2 linked regions of the Stegostoma tigrinum genome follow. The protein of the gene in region 1 purifies or fractionates together with the protein of each later gene. This does not show direct contact. Links are inferred from orthologs where the notes say so. Each region holds a gene or a part of one and is shown on either strand. Other genes may lie near its edges. The genes, in order: centriolar coiled-coil protein of 110 kDa-like and ccnf.

The links.
Region 2: the proteins of centriolar coiled-coil protein of 110 kDa-like (region 1) and ccnf purify together in Homo sapiens (affinity purification with western blotting; 7 studies listed by BioGRID and IntAct, with this or other methods). This does not show direct contact. The link is inferred for Stegostoma tigrinum from reciprocal best matches to the Homo sapiens genes CCP110 and CCNF.

What each region holds. Positions count from the first base shown.
Region 1 is NC_081376.1:55,080,725-55,088,030, forward strand, and holds the start of centriolar coiled-coil protein of 110 kDa-like, read left to right. Parts: upstream 1-4,182; 5' UTR 4,183-4,247; intron 4,248-7,306. Other genes in the region: gde1 (glycerophosphodiester phosphodiesterase 1), read right to left, coding at 3,756-4,010.
Region 2 is NC_081376.1:31,183,323-31,190,960, forward strand, and holds the start of ccnf (cyclin-F), read left to right. Parts: upstream 1-4,453; 5' UTR 4,454-4,796; coding exon 4,797-4,809; intron 4,810-7,638. UniProt on the Homo sapiens protein: Substrate recognition component of a SCF (SKP1-CUL1-F-box protein) E3 ubiquitin-protein ligase complex which mediates the ubiquitination and subsequent proteasomal degradation of target proteins.

The sequences.
Region 1 (7,306 bases):
AACATATCCAGTACTGGTTGCCGTCTTGTTCTGGCAATTTTTCCCTTCAGTATCCAAGGTCAAAGAATAATACGGCTGAGATAGTTAGGATCAACTGAATCAACACAGGCAAAGAGATGTGATTTTCCAGAGCTGCATGGATGTGAACTAACTGAAAACCCACATCACACTCAGTGCCAGTTTTAACAACCGACAGTTGTAGGAATTAAGGTGTTGTAATAACGTACACAAAGCGCTCTCAAGTTTCTACCAAGCAATCCACTGAAGGTGGTGTCTCTCAAGACATTCTTTAAAATTCTATTACACATCAAGTTTTCAGTTACCAAACATTAAAAGATCTGTCTGATCATCTCCTCCTTTGGTTAGGTGCCATTTTCTGTCCCCAAGGCCTTGGGATGTTTTAACTATATTAAAAATACTATATAAATGCAGATTATTACTGCATATAAGGACCTGCTGAAGACAAGGAGATTCAGAAGGTTCCTACCAGAAACTTCACTGATTACAGGAAATTTAACAAGTTAAAAGAACCTGTTAATTTTATTTGTGTACCAATTTTTTTGTTGTGCTGTAAGCCAACTTTTGGGATACTCTTTCCTTGCAGGAAAGAATTGTTGGGTGCTTTTTTACATTGGAACTGATGAGAAATGCAACTCTGCGATGCTGGGTATTGGTTAAACCACAAAACTTTAAAAAAGCTTTCCCGAGTAAGAAAGCAGTAAATGTGGAGAGTCAAAATAATCAAAATGGTTTCAAGCTGAAACATTTTGGAGGCTCAAGATCCTTTAATATTTCTTTAAAACAGATCAATAGAGCTACTAACAAGACTTCTCCTCAGTACTGTAACAATTATTAGCAGCACTGAAAGATACAGAAGAACAAGGAGCAGCAGCTGGACATTCAGGCCTTGAATCTAATTCTGCCATTTATTAAGATCATGGTTGACCCAGTTGTAACTTTATATGCACATTCCTGTCAAATCCTGGTAACCACTTAATATATTGTTTACCAAGATAAGGTGATGAGCCATCAATTTTTTCCTAGAGTTTGGGGAGTCCTAAACAAGAGGGCATAGTTTTAAGGTGAGAGAGCAAAGATGTGCAAAGGATTGAAGAGGTAACCTTTTCATGCAGAGGGTGATGCATGTATAGAATGAGCTGCTAAAGGAAGTGGTAGAGGTGGATACAATTGCTACATTTAAAGCCATCTGGATGGTATATAGATTGGAAGAGTTTAAGAGGGATATGGGCCAAATGCTGGTAAATCAGACTAGGTCAGATTTGGATGTCTGGTCAGCACAGATCGGGTAGACTGAAGGGTCTGTTTCCACACTACGATTTTATAAGAAACTAGCTTCCACTGTTCTAAAAATATTCTTCATCCACTGGCTTTCAATGTTTACGTAAGCAAGGAAAGACTAGCCACCAAGCAACTGAAGTAACTGATGTGTGTCTGACAAGTTGAACACATCTACCAAATTTTTTTTACACTAAATATTACTGCTGTAACTACAGAAGATATTAAAATTCTGAAAATATATGGGTTGAAATTAGAAATAAGTATCACCTTGATGGGATTGTACTACAGCCCCACCTCAACAGTCAGAGAGAAATTCAGAAGCATATGTAGGGAGATCGTATGTAAGCACAATAAGACTGTAATAATGGGGTACAAAAATAGAAATTGCTATTACAGACTCAGCAGGTCTGGCAGCATGTGTGGAGAGAAATCAGAGTTAATGTTTCAGGTTGGGTGACATTCTTAAGGTTCTTGTGAAGATGTGTAGCTTGGGTTGCGGATGAAGTTGATGGCATGCTCACCGAGCTGGCTGGTTATCGTACAGGGGTTAGTATGACATTTATATGATCTGGTCCACCTTAGCTCAAGCCAACCACAGGAATTCCTAGAGGCCTGGTTTTCAACACGTAGTGCAATCAACAAACATGTGGAATTAAATCCCATATACAAATCCAGAACAAATTGGAAATGATACAACCCAACTTATGGACTAGATCATATATATTCCAAGCAGAGTAGAACTACATCACTTCATCAGAGGCTGCGATCATGTTACCTGGCACAGTGACGAAACGTATGTACGATAACCAGCCAGCTTGGTGAGCATACCAACAAACTCATCCACAACCCAAGCTACAAATATTCAAAAGAACCTTAAAGAATATCAATATATTGAAGGAGAAAGCTTTGGGTATCCTAAATTGCATTGAGGTAGACAGCTCTCCAGGAGCAGATGAGATCTATTCTAGGTTAGTGCAAGGGGCAAGGGAAGAAATAGCTGGGCCATTAGCAGATATCTACATATCCTCTTTGACCACAGGCGAGGTTCCAGAGAACTGGAGATTAGGCAATGTCTTTCCCTTGTTTAAGGAAGGCACCAGGGATGATCCCGGAAATTACAGGCCAGTCAGTCTGATGCCTGTGGTGGGGAAGGTCTTGGAGGGTCAAGATATATGCACATTTGGAAGAAAGTGGACTAGTTAAAGACAGCACGGTTTTGTGTGGGAAAGGTCACATCTCACCAGCCTGAATGAATTTGTTTTTGACCAACTGACAAATATAATCGATGAGGGAAGCGTTGTGGATGTAGGTTATTGGGACTTTAAGGCATTTGATAAAGTCCTACATGGCAGATTGGTACAAAAACTAAAATCACATGGGATTTGGGGTGGGTTCTAGGCCCAAAATGTCAGCCTTCCTGCTCCTTTAATACTGCTTGGTCTGCTGTGTTCATCCAGCTCTATACCTTGTTATCTGAGATTTGGGGTGGGCTGGCTAGACGGATACAAAACTGGCTAGGTCACAGAAGACAGAGGATAGCAATGGAAGGGCTTTTTCAGAATGGAAACCGGTAACTAGTAGTGTATTGGTCTTGGGTCCTCTGTTGCTGATATTGCCGACAACTGTGAAAGGATACACAAGGGTATAGATAGAGTGGCGACTTGGGCACAGAAATGACAGATGGAGTTTAATCCAGACAAATGGAAGGTGATGCATTTTGGAGGATCAAATTTAAGTATAAATTATACTGTAAATGGCAAAGCTCTTGGGAACATTAACATACAGACGGATCTGAGTGTACGGGTAACTTTTTTTTGGTAAAGTTAGGTCACACAGATTCAGGATGACCTTGCCAACTGGATACACGAATAATTCAACAGCAGCGGACAGAGTGGTGATAGAGGGTTACTCTTCAGAGAGGAGGCTGGTCACCAGCTGTGTTTCACAAAACTTGGAGCTGGGTTCTCTTCTGTTCATCATTTATGTAAATGATTTGTATGAAAATGTAGAAGACATGACTGGTAAGGTTGTGGATGGCACCAAAACTAACAGCATAGTAGACACTGAAGAAGATTTTCTAAGGTTACAAAGGAATCTTGATCGCATGGGTCAATGGATGGAAAGATGGTAGATGAGTTTAGTTTGGATAGATACGAGGTACTGCATTTTGGTACAAAAAGCACAGGCAGGACATACAATTAATGGCAGGGTGTTGGGTAGAAAAGAGGGACCTGGGAGTTCAGGTACATAATTCTTTGAAGTTTGCATTTTGTGGGGTTGAGAGTTGGTAAGTTTTGGCCAGGGTTGGTGGATGGAGGGAGGGGAGGGGCTGTTTTAGAAGGGACTGTAGAAGTGGAATAGGGTGGAGGGCTTCAAAGGGACGGTTGGGAGTTTGAAGATAGGAAGCCTGGAGGGCGATGAAGAAGAGACAGACAGTAGACCAACGGGACACTCACCTTCCTGATGGCCCCCAGGGTGTTCTCCGGGGCATCATAGCCGCCTCCCCGATGGGCGACTACCGAAAGGCGGCCATTGGGACGGAGCACCTGCTGAGCGACCTCGAGCGGCACGGGCGGGTACCTGAGCGCTTGCACGGCCAGGCACAAGCCGAGCACTAGTACCGGAAAGTAGACCGGGTGGCACACACTCACCACCAGCAGTGCCACCACTGCCAACAGGAGCAGAAATCCGGCCACCACCGTGACATCCATTACCGGACACCCGCCCCCCCGGCCGCTGACGCTCCAGCTCGGGCAACTGGTCCACAATGGCGCTACGGCTCCTCACCATGGACACGTCTCCAGGGACCGCCCTCACCGGCAGGCGTCAGCACGCAGCCTTACGTCAGACGCTGCAACAAAGAGGAGAGGGGCGGGGCTGACAAGAGGAACTGTTGCTGGACTGGGTTGGATAAGGTCAGAAATCACGCAACACCAGGTCACAGTCCAGTAAGTTCATTTAAAAACACGCTTTCTTACACACGCTCCTTCTTCAGGTGTCAGCCTGATGCCGAAAGCTGTCTTCAAACAGATCCGTTGGACCATAATCTTCTGATCTGTGATTTTTGACAGTATGGGAATGGCCTGAATGGGGGGCGGGGCTGATAGCAGAGAGGTGTTGTTTGTGGGGGTGGGACTGTGGCTGATAGCGGAACAGGACCGTGTGAGAAGGCGGGGCTAAAAACAGAACAAGGCGGTACGTGGGGCGGGGCCGTAGATGGGCGGGGCTATTGGCTGGGGTGGGGTTTTGGGAGGGTCGCTGTGAAAAATGGAGTGGCTGTGTGTGGGGTTAGAGATGGGGAGGGTTGAGTAATGTGAGAGTCTGTTGGAGAAAGTGCAAGGGGTCAGCTCTGTTAGGCTCAGAACCATTCGGAAACTTTGCCAAGCTGATGGCAAACATTCTCTCTAATAGCATTTGATAATTTTCATTTATCTATAGATAATTTATTTACAGTAAAACATTTATTAAATGACTTAAAGTAAATTCACAATCTCACCCATCATTGGTGCTTTACAAGGATGATTCATGAATTCCATGGATATACGATCAGCATAGAATCCTTCCAGTGCGGAAACAGACATTTGACCAATTGAGCTCACAACAGCCCTCCGACGAACATTCCACCTCCCCACCCAACTCATGCAACCCTGCATTTCCCTCGGCTAAGGGAAACTGACTAACTGCACCCCCTACGTAATATGGGGCAAGTTAGCCTGTCCAATCCAGCTAATCTGTACATCTTTGGATATGTTGGTTTGTTATCATGCACAGATCAAAGATTGGTCTGTGTGGAATGGGTTTCAATTTGTGGGACCCTGGCACCAGTAACAGGTAGAAGGGAACTGTTCTGAGGGGACAGGCTTGAACTTGAACCTTAAAAACTGAAAGAATTGTGGATTCTGTAAATAAGGAACAAAAACAAAATTGCATGAAAAGCTCAGCAAGTCTGGCAGCATCTGTGAAGGAGAAAACAGAGTTAATGTTTCGGATCTGGTGACCCTTCCTCAGAACTCAGTTTTTGATTTGAACCTTGCTGGGACCGGTTTGCTAGTGAATTAAATCATTTGGGCTTTAAATTAATGGGGTGGGGAGAGGTAGTTTGGGAGAAGGGACATTTAGGCTTACAACAGTGCTTGTCTACAAGTCTCTGAAGACAGTAGAACAGGTTAACAGGAGCAGAAATTAGGCGAACTACCCTATGTCTTATGTTCTAAAGAAGGAACATGGGATAGTTGCCCTTTATCAATTGTGGCTCAGATTATAAGAGCAAAAGATTTTGACGAAGCTATACAAAACTTTGAGTGGAGTACAGTGTGCAATTCTGGTCACAACACTATCGGAAGGATGTGATTGTACTAGAGGGGATGCAGAGGAAATTTACAAGGATGTTATTTGGAATGCAGCATTTTTGCAATGAAGTGAGGCTGGATAGGCTCAGGCTATTTTTTTTAAAGAGTAGAGAAGGCTAAGGGGAGCCTGATAGAGATGTATAAGATTATGAAGGACACGATTAGTATGGACAGAAAGCAGCAGCTCCCCTTAGTTGAAGGCTCAATTATGAATAATTTTAAATTGAACATCTGGAGGTGTAGAAAGCATTTGAGAAAATACTTTTCTTTCATTGAGAGGGTGATAGGAACCCGGAATGTACTGCCTGGGACAGTAGTAGAGGCAGGAAACCTCACAGCCTGAAGATGAGCATGAAATGTTAAAATACGAAAGACTATGGGGCAAGTATTGGAAAGTGGAATTAGTTTGGTACAGACTCAATGGGCCAAAAGGCCTTTTCTGTAGATCATAGAACTGTACAGCTCAGCAATGGGCCCTTCAGCCATGATGTTGTGCCAAAAATGACACCAAATTAAAATTAAATTAAGCACCTTTCTGAAGAAGGGTCCCGATCCAAAACATCAGCTTTCCTGCTCTTTTCATGCTGCCTGACCTGCTGTGTTCTTCCAGCTCCATATTGTGTTATCCAGTAAAAGCTAGCTGTCTTCAAATCCCATTGAAGATGAATTCTCAATCAGTGAATGAAAGACCTTTGGTGCGCAAACAATTTTGTGCAAACAAAAAACGAGAAACAAAGCAGTTCATCAACTGCTCTGATCCAGTATGCTGCTCATGAACCAGGTCTCCCTGATATTTTCCCAACCTGAATATCCATGTCTTAACTGCCTTTGTATGCATTTCTGTTTGTGAAGGGGGTATTTAAAAAGGAATAGAGTTTAAATTGTGGAGTAATAATTTGGCAATTTATTTTTCCTAATTGCTGTTTTTTGGGGTTAGCACGGTGGCACATAGCACTAGAGACCGGATTCAATTCCAGCCTTGGGCAACTGTCTGTGTGGAGTTTGCGTGTCCTCCCTGTGTCTTTGTGGGCTTCCTCTGGGTGCTCTGGTTTCCCCTCATTGTCCACAGATGTGCATGTTAGGTGGATTGCCAATGCCAAATTGCCTTGTAGATGTTGTGGGATATACAGGCTAGGTGAATTAGCCATGGGGAATTAGTAAGAATGGGTAGGATGCCCTTCAAAGGGTTGGTGCTGACTCAATGGGCTGAATGGCCTCTTTCCACACTGTAGGAATTCTCTTCTTCTAAGTACACAAACAGGGTAAATGTTTTCCTTTAAGGCAAATTTTTCAGGCAGGTAAGTTGGGAACTTTGGATAAATCTTTTCACATTTGTGAGAATTCTGGGAATAGTGTGGCTTGCTTTACAAGCACTAACCCATTAAGTCATGGTACTTATTAGAAGCTTGGGTTTTCTTATCTTTAATAAATCTTGCATTGTCACAAAACAATCTAAAAGGGGGGGGGGGTGGTGGAGATGTAGTGTCACTGAGTAGTAATCCAGCACCCCAGGTGAATTTTCTTGGAGCTAAGAACAAAATATGCTGGAGAAATTTAGCAAGTCTCAGGTGAGAGAAGCAGAATTACTGGGGACACGGATTCTTTTCTGTCCTTGACAATTAGTGAAGTTTGAATTCAATTAATAAATCTGGAATAAA
Region 2 (7,638 bases), about 24 Mb from region 1:
CTTTATGTCCATGACTGTCACCAACCTCATCTCATCTGGGGATCTTCCCATGATAGCCTCCTAGCTCACAGTCCCCCAACTCCTGCGGCTCGCTTCCACCTTATTCCGTAAATCCACAAACAGGACTGCCCAGCAAGTCTCTTTGTTTCCGTCTGATCCTGCCCATAGAACTTATTTCTTCCTGCTTGACATTTTTTTTTCTCCCCTTGTCCAGTTCCTCCCCAGTTTTATTTGTGATTCTTCTAACACTCAGAATTTTCTGTTCACAGACAGCAGTTGCCTCCTGTTCAACATGGACATGCAATCCTTTTGCACATTCATCCCCCATCAAGATGGTTTCAGGGTCTCCAGTTCTTCCTGGAAAGAATGTCTTAACTGACCCCATCCACCCCACCCTTTTCCATCTGACTGAACTCAGGGTCACTTTGAACAACTTCTCCCTCAACTCCTCTCACTTTCTTCTAGTCAAAGGTGTGGCCATGGTTACCTGCAAAGGCCCCAGTTACTCCTGTCTCTTTGTGAGGCACGTGGAGCATTCCTCACTCGGAATGTCTTTCTCTGGTACATCCTGCCTTCGTACTAAACTGGAAAAATTTATCAATTTTGCTTCCAATTTTCCACCTTCTGCCCTGACCTTCATCTGGTTCATCTCTGACTCCTCCCTTCCCTTCCTCAACATTTCTGTTTTCATTCTGAGGATAGGCTAGCCACCAATATCCATGACAGACCCAATGACTCCCACAGTTATCTCAACAATATATCATCACACCCCGCTTCCTGTAAAGATTCTGTCCCATTCTCCTCATTTCTCTGTCTCCATCACGCATATTCTTAAATATGGGTGGTGGGTCCTCAGAAATATTCATCAGTCAACAGGGCCCTTGACCATGTGTGACCCATCTCCAACATTTCTGCCTTCACCTCATCCCTTTCCTCCCACAATGATAGAGTCCCCCTGTCCTCATTTATCATCCCATCAGCCTCCATATCCAAAGGATTGTGAGCCGCCATTCCCATCACCTCCAATGGAATGCCATGATCAGGCACATATTCCTCTTGTCAGCATTCCACATGGACCATACCCTCCGGGACATTCTGGTCCACTCCTCCTGCATTCCCAACACCTCCTCACACCCCAAGGAACTTCCCATGCAATCTCAGAGGGTGTAACTCCTGCCCATTCACCTCCACCTTCCTCATGACCTAAGGCCCAGATGTACCTTCAAGGTGAAGCAGCAATTTACCTGTATTTCATTTGATCAAGTCTACTGTATTCACTGTTCACAGTGTGGTGTCCTTTATATTGCAGAACATGTACATTCCTTCCACAAAAATAACTTCAAGCTTCCAGCTGCCTGCCATGTCGACACATGACTGGGTTCCCACACCAACATTTGTATTGCAGGCCTGCTGCAGTGTTCCATTGATCAAGCTTGAAGAACAATATCTCATTTTCTGCTTGGAGACCTTGCAACCTCTGGACTCAATATCAAGATTCAATAACTTTAGAGCCTGATTCCACTTTCGATGTTTTTTTCACTTACACCATTCTGGTCCTATGGTGATGTGGGTTGATTTTAAGCAGGCACCCATTCCGAAGCATATTATCATATTACATGGGTTGGTGTCAGTTCGGATCACCGTTTCTCTCCTACTCTTGTGTTCATTATCACTTATTCAGCCTTTGTTCAGTCCTAGCCTGCTCATTATCCTGATCCATTGTCTCCTTGTTTACTTATCTCTTTCATATATTTTTCTCAGTGGGCTTCATCTTCACCTCCCTCCTTTCTCCACCTCCCCAACTTTGTCCAGCATAAATACCACTTTTTCTATGCTCCTAACTGCTCAGATGAAGAGTCACTGGACTGGAAACAGCATCTATGCTTTCCTCCCACAGATGCTGCCACACCTGTTCAATTTTGCCTGCAATTCCTGTCTTGGTTTCAGACTTCCAACATCTGCAGTTCTTTGTTTTATTTAAGATGGTTGTGATTGTTGGATGTCAATCATCTCAGCTCCAGGATATCTTTGCAAGAGTTCCTTGGGTCATGTCCTAGGCACAAGCATCTCCAGCCGCTGCATGAATGACATTTCCTTGATGATATGGTCAAAAGTGAGGGTGTTTGCAAAAGACTGCAGAATGTTTAACGCTGTTCAATACTCCTCAGAAACTAAAGTGTTTCAAGTCCAAATACAGTAATTCCCTGACAATATCCAGGCTTGAGCTGAAAAATGATAAGTAACATTTACGCTACACAAATGTCAGGCAATGACAAGCCCAAATAAAAGACAATCTAACCATCACCTACATTAATTCCCCCCATATTAACATTCTGGGGGGGGGGGGTCACCATTGAACAGAAACTGGATTGGTCTATCCATATAAATACAGTAACAAGAGCAAGTCAAAGGCAAGGAATCTTGCAGTGATTAACTCACCTCTTAGTCTGTCCAGTATTTGCAATGCAGAAGTCAGGAGTGTAATGGGATATTTTCCACTTGAGGATGGGAGATAGCGACATTTATCACTGTCTAATTCAAATCCCATCATTCAGTTGCTGGAATTATAAAAGGTTTCATGTACTTCACTGCCAGGCACTTTGGCAGCTTTCTTTGGGTATGCAAAAAATGTTCTGGCGATGCCCTCAGCCCATGAATAAATAAAGAAAAAATGTGCCAGTTCAAACAAAATACAAAGCATTGTGTGGTGTTTCATTTACAGTAAGCAGGTGGGAAGGTGAAAGTATGTTGGACTTTATTGCAGCAGTATGAGAATCCAGGAACAAGCACATTTTACTTTAGCTCTACATACAAAGCTTTGGTGAAATCATGTTATTGTGTGAAACTTTGGTCCCTAATTTTAGATATATTTGCCATAGGGTGAGTGCAGTGAATATTCACCAGGATTATTCCTACAATGCCAGCATTATTGAGGACAGATTGGGTCAACTAGACCTGTGTTCACTAGATAATAAATGAGATGATATCAATTAAATAAATGAGAGGGTATCTCATTGAAATATGCAATGTTCTGAAATGGCTAAACAGACTGGATGCAGGGATTATTTACCCATCTGCAGGGTCTTGAATGGTCAAGGTCTCTGGGGTAGGCTATTTAGGTCTGAGATGAGGTGAAATTTCCTTACTAAAAAGTTGGTGGACTAGTGAAATTTTCTACCACGTGTGGCAGTGGATGCCAAGTTGATGAATTAAAGAAAGAAGCTGATAGATTTTTAGACCCTGAAGGCATCAAAAATTATGGTAAGACATTGGATGAATGGTGTTGAAGGATGTCATATTGCACTAAACGGCACAGCAGGTTTGATAGGCTGAATACTTGTGCTCCTATTTTCTATTTTTTTTGCTCGCCTGAAGAAGTCCAGGTCTAACAAACTCAGGAAACTCAAAACCATCCAGGGCAAAGCAGGCCTTGTGATCAACACTCAAACCATCACCTTAAACATTCACTTCTTCCATCGCTAGCATCAAGTAGTTGCAATGTCTGCCAATATACAAGGTGGACTTCAACAATTTGTTGAAGATCCATCAACGGCACTTTTCAACAACCTTTAACAACCAGGAGAACAAGGACATCAGACACTACGAACACTACAACTTGTATCTTCTCCTCCAAGTCTCACATCATCCTGACTTGATACCAACTGTATCAGAGATAATAGGAATTGCAGATGCTGGAGAATCCGAGATAACAAAGTGTAGAGCTGGATGAACACAGCAGGCCAAGCAGCATCTTAGGAGCACAAAAGCTGACGTTTCGGGCCTCGACCCTTCATCAGAAATCATTCAGATGAAGGGTCTAGGCCGGAACATTAGCTTTTGTGCTCCTAAGATGCTGCTTGGCCTGTTGTGTTCATCCAGCTCTACATTTTGATACCAACTGTTCCTTTAATACTGGGTCTCACTCCCAAACAGCACAGTTGATGTACCCACAACGCGTTGGCTGTAGTGATTCAATAAGGCAGCTCACCAACCACCCAGGCATGGTCAAGACATTTAGGAACTGTCAAAAAATGATGGCACATTTCAAAAGCGAATAAAAATGTCAACATCTGAAGCCCATCTCTTAGTTAGAAACAGGCATTAATTGAAAATGTGACATTTTGTTCAATTAAAGACTACCAACACCAAACACCATCACTCAAGCCAAACTCTGTTCCAAACACCGCGCTATTGCGCTTCTTCTTCCTGCCCATCTGAGGCGCTGCTTTTGCAGTCCGAGTGAAAAGTGCATTCTTTGGAACCAATTAGAACGGCCGGCGACGCAGCAAAGATGCTGAACAGACCAATTGCGATGTGAAATTGGGAGGCGAGGCTGTTGATTGATTTGTGGATCCACCAATGGACGGGCGTAGGCTGCTGGTATCCAATCAGCGGGGGCTATTTTGAAATAGTTCTCGTGAGATTGGTTTGAAACGGTCGGGCGCGTGGCAAGGGTTTTAGCTGTACTGTGGCGAAAGGTAGAGCTGTAGAAGAAGATCCAGATTCCTCACACTCCAGCAGAGGAATAGCTTGACCCAATTCTTGAAGGACGTTCAAATTCTAATCGTCCTCATAGTCCGGTACACAGATATTCCGCTGTCCCCTTCTCCACGCAGTTCCGTAGACACATTTCTGTTTTCGCACCGCAACGGAGTTCGGTACAGAGACACCCGACTCATCCGATATCCTCGCTGAGTGGTACTAAAACCTCTTGCAGTCTACTATTCGGAACCAGCGGCTGATCGAAAGGATTTTCCGTTTGAAAAGTGGGGGAACAGGACGCAAATTGGCTGAAAATGCGACCAGGTGGTGAGTTTCATCATCAGTTGAAATTTAGCCATAACCGCGTGTGTATTGGACGGTCTATGACCAAGAACGGGGTTGGTACCGAGTAGGGGGACTTTGGCCTCCGTATTTTGAGGAGGTGCAAAGGATGTTCTGCCCCCGGTATGTTGTGGCAATAGCTGCTGTACCCCCATGAGAGTCGAATGCCCTGCTTCCACACTGTAGGATTCTATTTTGAGGAAGTGGAAGAAAGGGCCTGTCTGAGCCCGGAGGATGGTGGGAGAGAGAAGGGAGGAAACACTTTGAGTAGTGGGTGGAGAAGGATTGGCAGAGACGTTCTTGAGCCCTTTTATTCGTTGGGGGAGGGGGAGATAGGCCATTTAGTGCTGAGCTAGGGAATATTTTTCACTCGACTGTTGTGTTTAGAGTTCTCTACTTGAGATGGCTAAGAGGCCCAGACATTGTATTCAATACTGCGATTGATATCTAATATAGATATTAAAGATGTCAAGGGATAGTAGGACCGGTGTGGGCAGGTGACTTTGGGGTATAAAATCAGTCACGATCTAGTAAAACATGGCCTAATCATAGTTCCTATGACTACAACGTCTGTTAGGGAAGGTTCTCTGCCATCTAAATCAGGGTGCCTGAAGAGCAAGGGTGAGTTTACTTTGAGTTGACTGGAGTTGAGGGTAGATTCAGCATATTGTGTTTTGGTTGGATTTGGGCAATTCTTGTGGTTCTTTTGTGGATTGTAATGTTGAGTGAGCTTCTAAGAAAGCACGTAGTTCTAGATGGATTGGGAGTTTCCCAGATTTGCTTGTTGCCAAAAATCACCCACTCTGATCAAATGGGCAGTAGTCACCTGTCTGAGTTATGCAGTCAGAGATAATGGGAACTGCAGATGCTGGAGATTCCAAGATAATAAAATGTGAGGCTGGATGAACACAGCAGGCCAAGCAGCATCTCAGGAGCACAAAAGCTGACGTTTCGGGCCCAGACCCTTCATCAGAGAGGGGGATGGGGGGAGGGAACTGGAATAAATAGGGAGAGAGGGGGAGGCGGACCGAAGATGGAGAGTAAAGAAGATAGGTGGAGAAGGTGTGGGTGGGGAGGTAGGGAGGGGATAGGTCAGTCCAGGGAAGACGGACAGGTCAAGGAGGTGGGATGAGGTTAGTAGGTAGCTTGGGGTGGGAGGAAGGGATGGGTGAGAGGAAGAACCGGTTAGGGAGGCAGAGACAGGTTGGACTGGTTTTGGGATGCAGTGGGTGGGGGGGAAGAGCTGGGCTGGTTGTGTGGTGCAGTGGGGGGAGGGGATGAACTGGGCTGGTTTAGGGATGCAGTGGGGGAAGGGGAGATTTTGAAACTGGTGAAGTCCACATTGTGTCGTTTGTTTTATCTTGGGTTGGGAAGCATGAGGTGTTTCAGCATCCCAGGGAAACAGCTGCAAATCGTCTGGCTTGTATTATCCTGTATTTGAAAAAACAATTGAATTGCAGATCTTTACTATCCAAGTTAAGAGATAACAAGATGTAGAGCTGGATGAGCACAACAGGCAGAGGAGCAGGAAAGCTGACGTTTCTGGTCTAGACCCCTCTTCAGAAATGGGGAAGGGGATTCTGAAATTAAATAGGGAGAGAGGGAGATGTGGATAGAAGATGGATAAAGGAGATGATGGTGGAGAGGAGACAGACAGGTCAAAGAGGCGGCGTGGGGAGTTAGGAAGGGGATACGTCAGTCCAGGGAGGACGGACAGGTCAAGGATGTGGGGATGAGGCTGGTAGGTAGGAGATGAGGATGGGGCTTGAGGTAGGAGGAGTAGATAGGTGGGAGGAAGGACAGATTAGGGAGGTGGGGATGAGCTGGGCTGGTTTTCGGGATATGATCAGGTGACGGGAGATTTCGAATGCAACTCTCTACTATCCAAGTGTTCTATCTGAGTAGGTTTGATATATACTGGTAGGAAACGGATTTCTTTAGTACAGAGTAGTGAGTTTTGGTATAACGTTTTCTGTGTGTTCGCATCAGGCCTGCATCATGCAAAAGAACAAAACTCCTCTAGTCTATCATTTTTTGTATTGATTCTTGAATGAATTGAGTGCTTTTTTAATCTGGCAAATATGGAATTGGTGTCTTCCCGCGAAGCTCAGTACAAGGCTGAGTACCTGGAAATAGGCAAAGAACCTTGCCTAAGTGTGACACTAAATGTTTCTTGCATCACTCTGATTTTACCCAAGCCAGGGGAGGATGGGTTCATCACTTGAAGGACTATTAGGGATGGGGAAAAATGCTCTCACGCCATGAATAATTCAAGATTATCAGATGTGAGGTGGGTAGATTTATTGCATGCATGGGGTTTGTGTTCATTCCTCCATACCTGTATTTGATGTATGCTGTCTTGGTTACGTACATCCTTTAGTAAACTAGAAAATGGAATAGGTATATACTATGGATATGGATGCAAATATACCGTGTTGCCATTTTTGAATGTTGAGAGGGGGATGGGGAGCACCCTTTCCATTCTTTATTTTTTCATCGAGACAATACTAGTGAGGTTGTGACAAAGTTTGAAGCACAGCCGTCTCACTTGGATGCTTTTAAACGTGACTACATCTGGTATGGAGTCTGGCACTTGACCTCATGTCTTGCGCTTCACAGGATGTGTTCATTGCTGGTTGTAGGGTCCTTGCATTATTTGTGTATTAATAAGATCTACCAACAGAACAAAGAGTCATAAACCATGATGTTAGTTCCCCTTAGTCACAGTCATGGAAACAGATCCTTTAGTCCCACTCATCCATGCTGACCAAGACTTCCATACTCACTCAACCAGTCCTGTTTGCTTGCGTTTGG